2 linked regions of the Arabidopsis thaliana genome follow. The protein of the gene in region 1 interacts with the protein of each later gene in a pairwise test. Each region holds a gene or a part of one and is shown on either strand. Other genes may lie near its edges.

Evidence for each region.
Region 2: the proteins of SNRK2.3 (region 1) and ABF1 interact in a two-hybrid assay, tested with the Arabidopsis thaliana proteins (one study listed by BioGRID).

What each region holds. Positions count from the first base shown.
Region 1 is NC_003076.8:26,708,227-26,713,502, forward strand, and holds SNRK2.3 (sucrose nonfermenting 1(SNF1)-related protein kinase 2.3), read left to right. Parts: upstream 1-2,075; 5' UTR 2,076-2,108; intron 2,109-2,193; 5' UTR 2,194-2,470; coding exon 2,471-2,644; exon of another isoform or gene 2,645-2,981; coding exon 2,982-3,056; intron 3,057-3,149; coding exon 3,150-3,251; intron 3,252-3,324; coding exon 3,325-3,378; intron 3,379-3,478; coding exon 3,479-3,571; intron 3,572-3,684; coding exon 3,685-3,777; intron 3,778-3,858; coding exon 3,859-3,963; intron 3,964-4,039; coding exon 4,040-4,138; intron 4,139-4,215; coding exon 4,216-4,506; 3' UTR 4,507-4,717; downstream 4,718-5,276. Other genes in the region: AT5G66890 (Leucine-rich repeat (LRR) family protein), read right to left, coding at 4,718-5,276. UniProt on the Arabidopsis thaliana protein: Together with SRK2D, key component and activator of the abscisic acid (ABA) signaling pathway that regulates numerous ABA responses, such as seed germination, Pro accumulation, root growth inhibition, dormancy and seedling growth, and, to a lesser extent, stomatal closure.
Region 2 is NC_003070.9:18,398,077-18,403,401, forward strand, and holds ABF1 (abscisic acid responsive element-binding factor 1), read left to right. Parts: upstream 1-1,929; 5' UTR 1,930-2,084; intron 2,085-2,110; exon of another isoform or gene 2,111-2,707; 5' UTR 2,708-2,749; coding exon 2,750-3,748; intron 3,749-3,865; coding exon 3,866-3,937; intron 3,938-4,022; coding exon 4,023-4,077; intron 4,078-4,200; coding exon 4,201-4,286; 3' UTR 4,287-4,541; downstream 4,542-5,325. Other genes in the region: AT1G49730 (Protein kinase superfamily protein), read right to left, coding at 4,542-5,050, 5,129-5,213, 5,290-5,325. UniProt on the Arabidopsis thaliana protein: Binds to the ABA-responsive element (ABRE). Could participate in abscisic acid-regulated gene expression.

The sequences.
Region 1 (5,276 bases):
TATTGTTTCTTAAGTCTCTCTTTTGGTTTTACTTATATTTCCTCGACTTTTCTTGCAGTTGGAAACTCTGACTTTGCTCAAGGCATTATGGACGCAATCGAGTTTTTCTTTCTTCCTGATTTTGTCGGACGTCCAACAGCGAAAAGACACTCACCACGTAAAAGTCAAACGACTAACAAAGAAGTCAGCTTATTTGGTTGATTTTGAGTCCTGCAGACAGTTTTGGTATAAAGTATAAACCAAAGGCCTCGTATCAATTTGAACAAAAGATCTCCACTCCATCCCGAAACAAATACTACCTTGCTTTTTTTTTTCTTTGTACCCTATTAATATTTTTTTGACATTTCTTTTGGTTCAAGTAAAAAAAAGGAGAAATTAGTGTTTTTGGTTGCAAATCTATTTGTAAATTAGATGTCAAGAGAAGTGTTACTTGCCCTAGTGGTTTATCACATATCCGACGTCAACCGGAAATATTAAATTAAAAAGTATGAATAATCTATCTTTGTATATCCGCATTTACATTTTTTTTTGTTTCTGGAAAAGTATCGATCCTGTTATATATACCTAAAGTTTAAAATGCGAAATAAGAAACAAAAAGAGTTTAGTTTATGAAAACATTATCATAATGATACCAAAAAGGCTAAGGAAAAACAAATTACAAAAAGGCTACATCATTTTTTAAAAGAGAGTGTGTGCTTCACATATAAACAAGGAAACGCATATAATAATCATCAAGTAGCTAGATGAAGCTAAAGAAGTAGTTAAGTGTGAATGCTTGGCAATTAAGATTGTGTTGGTTCATTTATTAACAATCTTTGACCACTCACTAATTTATTTTTGGCTCTCTCTTCTATATCATCACCGTTTTATCTTTATAAACCATCCCTCAAGACTCTCCCAATATTACATGATGTGTTTAATCCTCACGAATTCGCATGAATCAAAACCGGCTGAAAAACAGATGTAACATTTAAGTTAACATACTCACACCAATCTAAATTATTAGACTTTCATTCACTTTAACACATTTGTCCATACCATGATGATCATAACAATCAGTAGCTAAATCAATGTGAGTGTGGCTTAGATATTTGATCTGAATGATTCATGAGAAACATGGATACTTAATGTTCATGTGCATGTGCATATAATAGTATATTAATCTCACCAGTAGGATGCTTAGTATAGCAATAAAGAGAAGGTGGTGAAATTGATGAGCATCGGCCATTAAATTAAGCACTGACCCATTAATTGCGCACTTACCCATAAACACCATTCACTCCTTTTCATTAACTTAAGAGTAAAATTATACATACACCTCGCTATCTCTAACACTAGTCACACTAGTGTACCTTCCTCGGTACTCTTATCAATGTCTCGTGTCGCAATAAATCCATATAAAGATTTCTAACTAGGTCAATCCAACATCCAATTTAATACAACAGTCCTTAGTAGATTCTAATTTAAGTGTGTCTCTATATATATATGGACCGACAAAATCAATGACCTAAGATTTGACTATATATTTCATGCAAATATGATAAAATGCTATTCATCCAATTAATCATCAATATTGTAATTGGGCTGGCCTTTTGCTTATATCTTTAGGCATTTTCTTTAACAAAATTAGAGCCAGGCCCATCAATTAAATTGAAAAATGCTTAGAAGTTGTCACGTCACTGTCCATGTCATCCATGGTGGGATTGGGCTGGCCTAAAGGACTTTTCTATGTAAAAATTAGAGGCAGGCCCATCAACTAAATTAAAAAATGCTTAGAAGTTGCCACGTCAGTGTCAATGTCATCAGTGTCTATTTCTAACGCCGTCAAGTAACGGAATAACGCAACCGAATATTCTTTCATCACATGGCCGCTTCTGCAGCACGTGACTTTCAAGCTTCTGTTTTCCTTATGAACTAAGTTTTTCTGTTTCCTCCAAACTATTTTTTTTAATTAGAATATCTTGTTATTTATAACGAATATATCTTCTTCTTTTACTTATTTTTAACACAAATATTTATTTGTTTGATACGAATTCTCAAAATGAGAAAAACGAAGAAAAATAGAAAAAAATCGAAACGGATAAATACAGAGAATTTAGAGAAAAAAGGTTTGTATTTTAGGAGACAAGGACGAGTGAAGTCGTGCTTTTTCTTTTTTTATTTCATGTTAATTTTAATATTTTTGGGTTATAGTTTCTTAGGAAGCAACATCAATCATCAAAACGCGGCGGCTCTTGTCGTATCAAAGCAACTGAACGTTGTCGTTTTGGGACAATCCTTATCTCTTGGGGCAACCAATTATTGCCTTTTTTCTTCCTCTCTTTCCTTATTCGTTCTCTTCTTGAAGATATTTTTCCATTTATTTTCTCGAATCTTCTTCTTCTTCCTAGATTCCAGCGACTTAACAACAACAACAACAACATATTCTCTGCTGGGTATTAGATTCGAATTTCTCTTTTTGTGATCAGAAATGGATCGAGCTCCGGTGACCACAGGACCGTTGGATATGCCGATTATGCACGACAGTGATCGATATGACTTCGTTAAGGATATTGGTTCTGGTAATTTCGGTGTTGCTCGTCTTATGAGAGATAAACTCACTAAAGAGCTTGTTGCTGTCAAGTACATCGAGAGAGGAGACAAGGTTTCATTTTTAAAAATCTCATCTTTTTCTATTTTTGGAAGTTGATGATATTTATTTAGTCCAGTGATCGTTCATTTTTAGTGTTTGGTTTAGCTTTCACTTTCCAGATTTATTGGTTTCGTACTTAAAGTTAGCGTTTTTAGATTTTGATGATTATGCTTTTGAGTGCTTTTAATGTGATTTTAAAGATGTGAGCTTCCTAACACTTGAATGATGATTTTAATTTGTGATTTATGTGAAATTTTGGATATTGAAATGATTTTTTTAGTTGGTTTTGAGTGTTCTGCTTTTGTAGATTAGGACAGTTGTGAATGACTTGTAACTATGGGAGTTGCAGATTGATGAAAATGTTCAAAGGGAGATCATTAACCACAGGTCACTAAGGCATCCTAATATTGTCAGATTTAAAGAGGTAAAATTTATACACTTTTCTTCAGTACTTGTCTTTTTGGAATTTGTTAAGCCAGTGACTCTTTTAAACTCTGTTTCTTGTACTTGAGGATAGGTCATTTTGACGCCGACTCATCTGGCTATCATAATGGAATATGCTTCTGGCGGTGAACTTTACGAGCGGATTTGCAATGCAGGACGGTTTAGTGAAGATGAGGTTTGTATTTGGTTCTCTTATCGGGTTTACAGGTCTCCGGTTTCCTTATGGTTTGATCTCTTCTTGTAAACAGGCTCGGTTCTTCTTTCAGCAGCTTCTATCTGGAGTCAGTTATTGTCATTCGATGGTATGTAGAGAATCTGTTTCATGGAGCCTATGGACTGGTTGTATTCTTGTTTTTTTCTAACTTGTTGTTAATACTCTACTTTTTTTCATGTGCTGTGAAGCAAATTTGCCATCGTGACCTGAAGCTAGAGAATACATTGTTGGATGGAAGTCCTGCTCCTCGATTAAAAATTTGTGATTTTGGATATTCAAAGGTATCACAAATGATTTTGTTCTTTTGGTATCAGAAACTATACACTTGTGGTTCCTCCATTGTCATGTTCAAATGTGTTTTTAAAGTGTTTGCTTATGCATTTCTTTTTGACAGTCTTCTGTTCTTCATTCACAACCAAAGTCAACTGTTGGTACTCCTGCATACATCGCTCCAGAGGTACTGCTTCGTCAGGAATATGATGGCAAGGTAAAGGCTTTTAGAGAATTCCTCTGTAATCTCTGTATTTCTAAGGATGAATAGCCAATCATTGAGTGTTACGGTTACCAGATTGCAGATGTATGGTCATGTGGTGTGACCTTATACGTCATGTTGGTTGGAGCGTATCCGTTCGAAGATCCAGAAGAGCCAAGAGACTATCGGAAAACAATACAGGTAACCGCTTAAAACGTTGTTCCTTTTGTTCATCTCTTGATGTTCCTCTTATTCTCTTAATGATTCTGAAACACAGAGAATCCTTAGCGTTAAATACTCAATCCCTGATGACATACGGATATCACCTGAATGCTGTCATCTTATTTCAAGAATCTTCGTGGCTGATCCCGCTACCGTAAGTCATTCCCTTTCCTCATCTCTAATCTTTAAACCATCGGCGAGATGACTGATGTTTGATGTTGTTTGTTACAGAGAATAAGCATACCAGAGATCAAAACCCATAGTTGGTTCTTGAAGAATCTCCCTGCTGATCTAATGAACGAGAGCAACACAGGAAGCCAGTTCCAGGAGCCTGAACAACCAATGCAAAGCCTTGACACAATCATGCAAATCATCTCTGAAGCCACAATTCCCGCTGTTCGAAACCGTTGCCTAGACGATTTCATGACTGACAATCTTGATCTTGACGATGACATGGATGACTTTGACTCTGAATCTGAAATCGACATTGACAGTAGCGGAGAGATAGTTTACGCTCTCTAATAAAAAGCCTTTTTTAACAACCAAAACACTTCTCTATCTGTTCTAAGACCAGTAGTGTTCTGATCCTCTGGTTTCAAATTCTACCAATTTTTGTATTGTCTCTGTTTGTTTCTTGTTTTCTTCATGCACACATATATCATATATGTAATGTAAAATATCATCTGTGTATATTATATATATATTCCAATGTCACACAAAAGCAAATTAACAGTTAAAACAGTTGAAGCAAGTTGAGGTTATGTTCTGTTTTTTCCTCTGTGATCGTCAGATTCTTCATTTCTGGTTTCAATATTTTCCACAAGAACGCAGTATCTTCGTCGCATTTCACTTCCAGATTCTCTAGATTCTTCACAGAATCCGGTAACTCGCATCGATAACAATCTTTCATCGAAATCTTCTCAAGCTTCTTGAGCTTTCCAATTTCTAGAGGCAGGTTTTTCAGTTGGAAGCCACCAGAAACATCAAGAAACCGCAAATTGTCGAGTCTGTCAATCGTTTCAGGTAGCTCTAAGAGACTAGCACAAGAACTCAGTCTCAGCGTTTCAAGGTCCCTTAAGTCACCTATAGCTTCTATGACTCTGCAAAGCTTGTTACAATTTGTGACACTAAGCTTCTTCAATGAAACAACTTGAGAGATCCAATATGGTAATTCATCAAGATTGTAGCAATAGTCAATCTCGATTTCCTGTAGACTTTGTAAAGTTTCAGAAACATCTTCTAATTCGTTGAGAGCATCAACAACGTGACAAAACCATAAGGACAACTTCTCA
Region 2 (5,325 bases), on another chromosome or scaffold:
TGTCAAAAATCTTGAGAAAAACGATGAGATTCGGGTTCAGATTTTTTCAAAAATAGTTTTATTCGTGAAAGATTTAAATTCGAGCGGAGATTGTTCCGCCCACTTTAAAAAATATTTTATTTTCTCTAAATAATTTTAAAATAAAATAATTATAATAAAAATGAAAATTTGAAATTTTTAGACACCATAAACTAATATGTTAATAAAATTATTTTATCCAAAATTAGAAAATTAATGTCATATAATCTAAAAAATTAATAGTTAATTGAGATGATAAGGGTAAAATTAAAATTTTATTTTTGTTGTCAGATCGTGAGTATGAAAATAACAATATTTAATTGTTTGAATATTTAAATTGCACAGTTTTATTATTTCATGTATTTTTCATGTATTTTTCTTCTTAGAAAAAACAATTGGGTATTAAACGTTTAAATAAAAATTAGTTAAGGTTTTTTTTTGGATTTTTACCCATTAGAAAACTCTTCCTTTTCATTTATTTTTACTTCTAGTAGTAGAGGTAATTTTTCTTTTTTGATTAACAAAGTCGTGAGGTTTGTTAGTAGAGACTAGAAAGTTGTTGAATGGGTAATTGATATGTTTTGCTCCACAAGAAAGCGGAAGTTTTTAAAAAAAAAGAAACAAAATTAGCATTACAATACCAATGATTACATATGTAAACAATATTTCCCGGAATTAGCTCGTATGAATCTAAATTAATATTGACAAAAAAAAAAATACCAATGATCACATATATGACAAAAAGAAAGAATGAAGGAGAACTCTATCATGGTTTGATGCTCATTCTATACGCTGGCCCAACGGTGACACGAAAGTAGACAATTCTTTTAAATAAGTTATCAAATTATAAAGAAGTAGAAATCATCAACATACCATTTACCAAGTGAGGAGAGGGCAAAATTTCCAAATTTGGAAGTGAATTGTATTAAACTCGACGCAAATCTTCTTAAAAGTCTTCTTCTTTTGGGTTGCTTGGATATAATGATTATTGCTTGATGTCAAAATTCGCACACCATTGGGATGATGGGACCCAAAAAGAATCACTACCCACTTCTGCCGTTGTTTCAACATCATTCATGTATAATAATCACAGTTTATCAAGCACACAAAATATCTTACATGAGTAACAACAATATGATATTAAAATTAATTTGGCACATAATTTAATCATTTGGTGTTCCGACCGACATGATACTATACTATAATTTTATTCCCATTTCATTTCTTATTTTTTTATATGCATAGAAAATTATTTAAATGCAAAATAAAATTTTAACCAAAAACCTCTAGTCTAGTAGTTTGTTCGATTGTATATAGAGTATTTTGTCATGTGCATAGATTACCACCATCTACGAACATTGTTGTGGTTTGATTTTCTCTTTGATCGCGGTAAACACCAACAATATATGACTAGACATTCATAAACTTCAGATGAGTTAGGATTTGATTTTTTAGAATTTTGGTTTTGAAAAAAAATTAGCCAACTAAAAATCAAACAAAAATTTACTGCGGTTCATAAGTAAAAAAAAAATCAATTTCCTTTTTAGTAATTTTCTTGGAGTCGAATTGAAGTAAAATTGTGCAGTTTACAACACAGAATTCGATATTTAAAAAATTTCTGTTGGCGAATTAAAATTGAAATACTATAATTATCCAAACTTTCTTCGGTTAGTTAATTAAGATCAGAAATAATGTCTAAATGGCAAGGTTAATATGGATATTTGTATCAGATCTAATCCCATTTTTAAAGAAAACAAACAAGGCAAAGGACACAATCAGCGACTAAAGCTCTCACACGTTACAGCTTCTTATTGGTTAAAAATGAACGTGGTTGTCAGCTAAATTAAGTGACTATGTTTAATAATCATTAAAACGGGATATTTATTAGTTTATTACCAAAAAATGAAAGCAAAATATCTAAACAATAAATAAAATAAAAAACCATAAGAGGAAAAAGCTTAACCCCTTAAAATGGCAGTTCGTGTCGAAGCTACTACAAACACACTTGTCGTCTCTTCTCTCTCTCGCAGCTCTTCTCTATTTTCAGCAATCGCCTATAATATTAGGTAAAGCTTCCTTCTTTTTGTTTATCCGTTTTCGTTTTCTTTTCTTCTCGAATCTGTCTTTGTCTTATCACATCCCCTGAAGTGTTATACTTTTTTTTTTTTTGGGTCCGATTCATAATATCTGTTTTGTCTTTTTTTTGGTTCTATGTTCTAAATCAAGTAGTAGTAGTAATGAAGTAACTATTCCTAAAGAAATTAAAGGATAAGACTTTTTTGTTTTTCTTCTTGAGGGTTTGTGTGATCTTGCTTTTACTCCAGAATCTTTTATAGATCTATCTTTTAGATACATTCAAGAATGGTCAAAGTTATGGATTTTGATCCAATCTTATATTTCTCTCTGAATCCAAGGATCCAATTTATACTCTCTGTATCACACACTTCTATGTATATGTTTGTGATTGATTGCTTCTGGCTAAAACTTTATAAAGTTTTGACATTTATATGAACGTTCCTGCCTTTTGCTTTTGGTCTTCTTTGCTTGCTCTTATGCAAGTATACTTAAAAGCACTATGTGACACATAGTTGTGTGGTGTGTTATACTCCTAAACCAGTTTCAATTTTCTGGTCTTGTTCTCTCTTAGGTAAAGCTAAAAGGGTCTGATTCGTTTGTTTTTTCACTGAAGAATTTGGAAGGAAGTGATTCCGTTGTGAAACAGAAAAGAAGTATGGGTACTCACATTGATATCAACAACTTAGGCGGCGATACTTCTAGAGGGAATGAGTCAAAGCCATTGGCGAGGCAGTCTTCGTTATATTCCTTAACGTTTGATGAGCTTCAGAGCACATTAGGTGAGCCGGGGAAAGATTTTGGGTCTATGAATATGGATGAGTTACTCAAGAACATATGGACTGCTGAGGATACTCAAGCCTTTATGACTACTACATCTTCGGTTGCAGCCCCGGGACCTAGTGGTTTTGTTCCGGGAGGAAATGGTTTACAGAGGCAAGGCTCCTTGACCTTGCCTAGAACGCTTAGTCAGAAGACTGTCGATGAAGTCTGGAAATACCTGAATTCGAAAGAAGGTAGTAATGGGAATACTGGAACGGATGCGCTTGAGAGGCAACAGACTTTAGGGGAAATGACTCTGGAAGATTTCTTACTCCGTGCTGGCGTTGTTAAAGAAGATAATACTCAGCAGAACGAAAACAGTAGTAGCGGGTTTTATGCTAACAACGGTGCTGCTGGTTTGGAGTTTGGATTTGGTCAGCCGAATCAAAACAGCATATCGTTCAACGGGAACAATAGTTCTATGATCATGAATCAAGCACCTGGTTTAGGCCTCAAAGTTGGTGGAACCATGCAGCAGCAGCAGCAGCCACATCAGCAGCAGTTGCAGCAGCCACATCAGAGACTGCCTCCAACTATCTTTCCAAAACAAGCGAATGTAACATTTGCGGCGCCTGTAAATATGGTCAACAGGGGTTTATTTGAGACTAGCGCAGATGGTCCAGCCAACAGTAATATGGGAGGAGCAGGGGGTACTGTTACAGCTACTTCTCCTGGGACGAGCAGTGCAGAAAACAATACTTGGTCATCACCAGTTCCTTACGTGTTTGGTCGGGGAAGAAGAAGCAATACGGGCCTGGAGAAGGTTGTTGAGAGAAGGCAAAAGAGAATGATCAAGAATCGGGAATCCGCTGCTAGATCAAGGGCTCGAAAACAGGTAAAGTTACCGTTTTGTTCTCAAAAACTTTGATATCAATATCATCTAACCAAACTGCCATTACCGTTTTCTTTTCAAGAACTTTGAAATCATTTTGATGTTTTGGCTAAACCTCAGGCTTATACCTTGGAACTGGAAGCTGAGATTGAAAGTCTCAAGCTAGTGAATCAAGATTTGCAGAAGAAACAGGTTTTTTTCTTCTACCATTTTTATTGCTTCTCCATAGAGAGTCTAGCTGGCTCAGTTATTTAACTGCGGTCTCTCTATGTTGCAGGCTGAAATAATGAAAACCCATAATAGTGAGGTAATAACGTTTTTCCTCTACTTATGTATATTTCATGTATACACCATCATTGTCTCTACATTACCAGACATTTTGTGTCTGTCTAAATGTAGCTCTATTGTCATTTTGATGACACACAGTTCACTGATACTAGTACTTGAATTTGCAGCTAAAGGAATTTTCGAAGCAGCCTCCATTGCTGGCCAAAAGACAATGCTTGAGAAGAACCCTTACCGGTCCGTGGTAAGAAGGTGAAGTCAAAGCAAGAAGAACCTGCTAATGTAATACAGGACCACTCAAAAGGAAGACACTGGGAGAGTAATATGTAATAGAAGATAGTGCTACTGTACAGGAGAAATTACAGAGACGCTTACAATGTAGAAATCTTTTGAGCTGAATTTAACTAAGAGTGCAGTCTGTGTAGAGTATGAGAGCTTTCAATATGAATTCATAATTTTCATAAACATATGTAAAACTTTCAGATTTAGCTATAGAGAAGATGTGACTAACTCAGAAAGAAAATCCGTTAATTGGAGAGTGAGGTAAACTCCGGCTGTAATGTGACCTGGAAGTAGTACTAGACGATGGACCAAAGATCCGGGAATCACCTCTTTGAATTCTCAAATTGCTTCTCTTCCTACTATCCCAGCCTATCTCTTCTTCAACCGCTTTAGCAAATGCGCTATGCACCGGATCACAGCTTTCACACAACAGCCTCAAGACTTGCTTAATTGATGGCCTAGACCGGCCTTCTTTCTCGGTACACAATCTCACAACCGTCACAACTGCATCAAGTTGTTTTCCTCCAGCATCATTAATAGAGTCTTTGATTCTCGGGTCTACCAACTCGAGGTGTTTTGATTTCGCCAACAAAAACCGCTGAGACATTTCCACAAGGTTCCTACCTTCATCAACTGCTCTTCTCCCGGTTATGAGCTCCAGCAACACAACTCCGTAGCTGTACACATCACTCTTCTCTGTCAACTCTTGCGTTACTACATATTCCGGATCTACATAACCTGAAAAAACTTCAAGTTTTTAAAACTCAGCTTCCATCAAAAGTAGTCAAGTTATTCTGTTCAGTATCTCTCCCAAACCTGGAGTTCCACGGATATCGGTATTCACAGGCTCAAAGCAAACAGAGCCATCTCTAGACGAATGTGCAAGGCCAAAATCTGAAAGCTGCACCAAGAAAACATTATTAGTTATCCAAATACCAAAGGGTTCTCTAACACAGAAGATGTGCAGTACTACATACCTTAGCGACGAAGTTCTCATCGAGTAATATATTGCT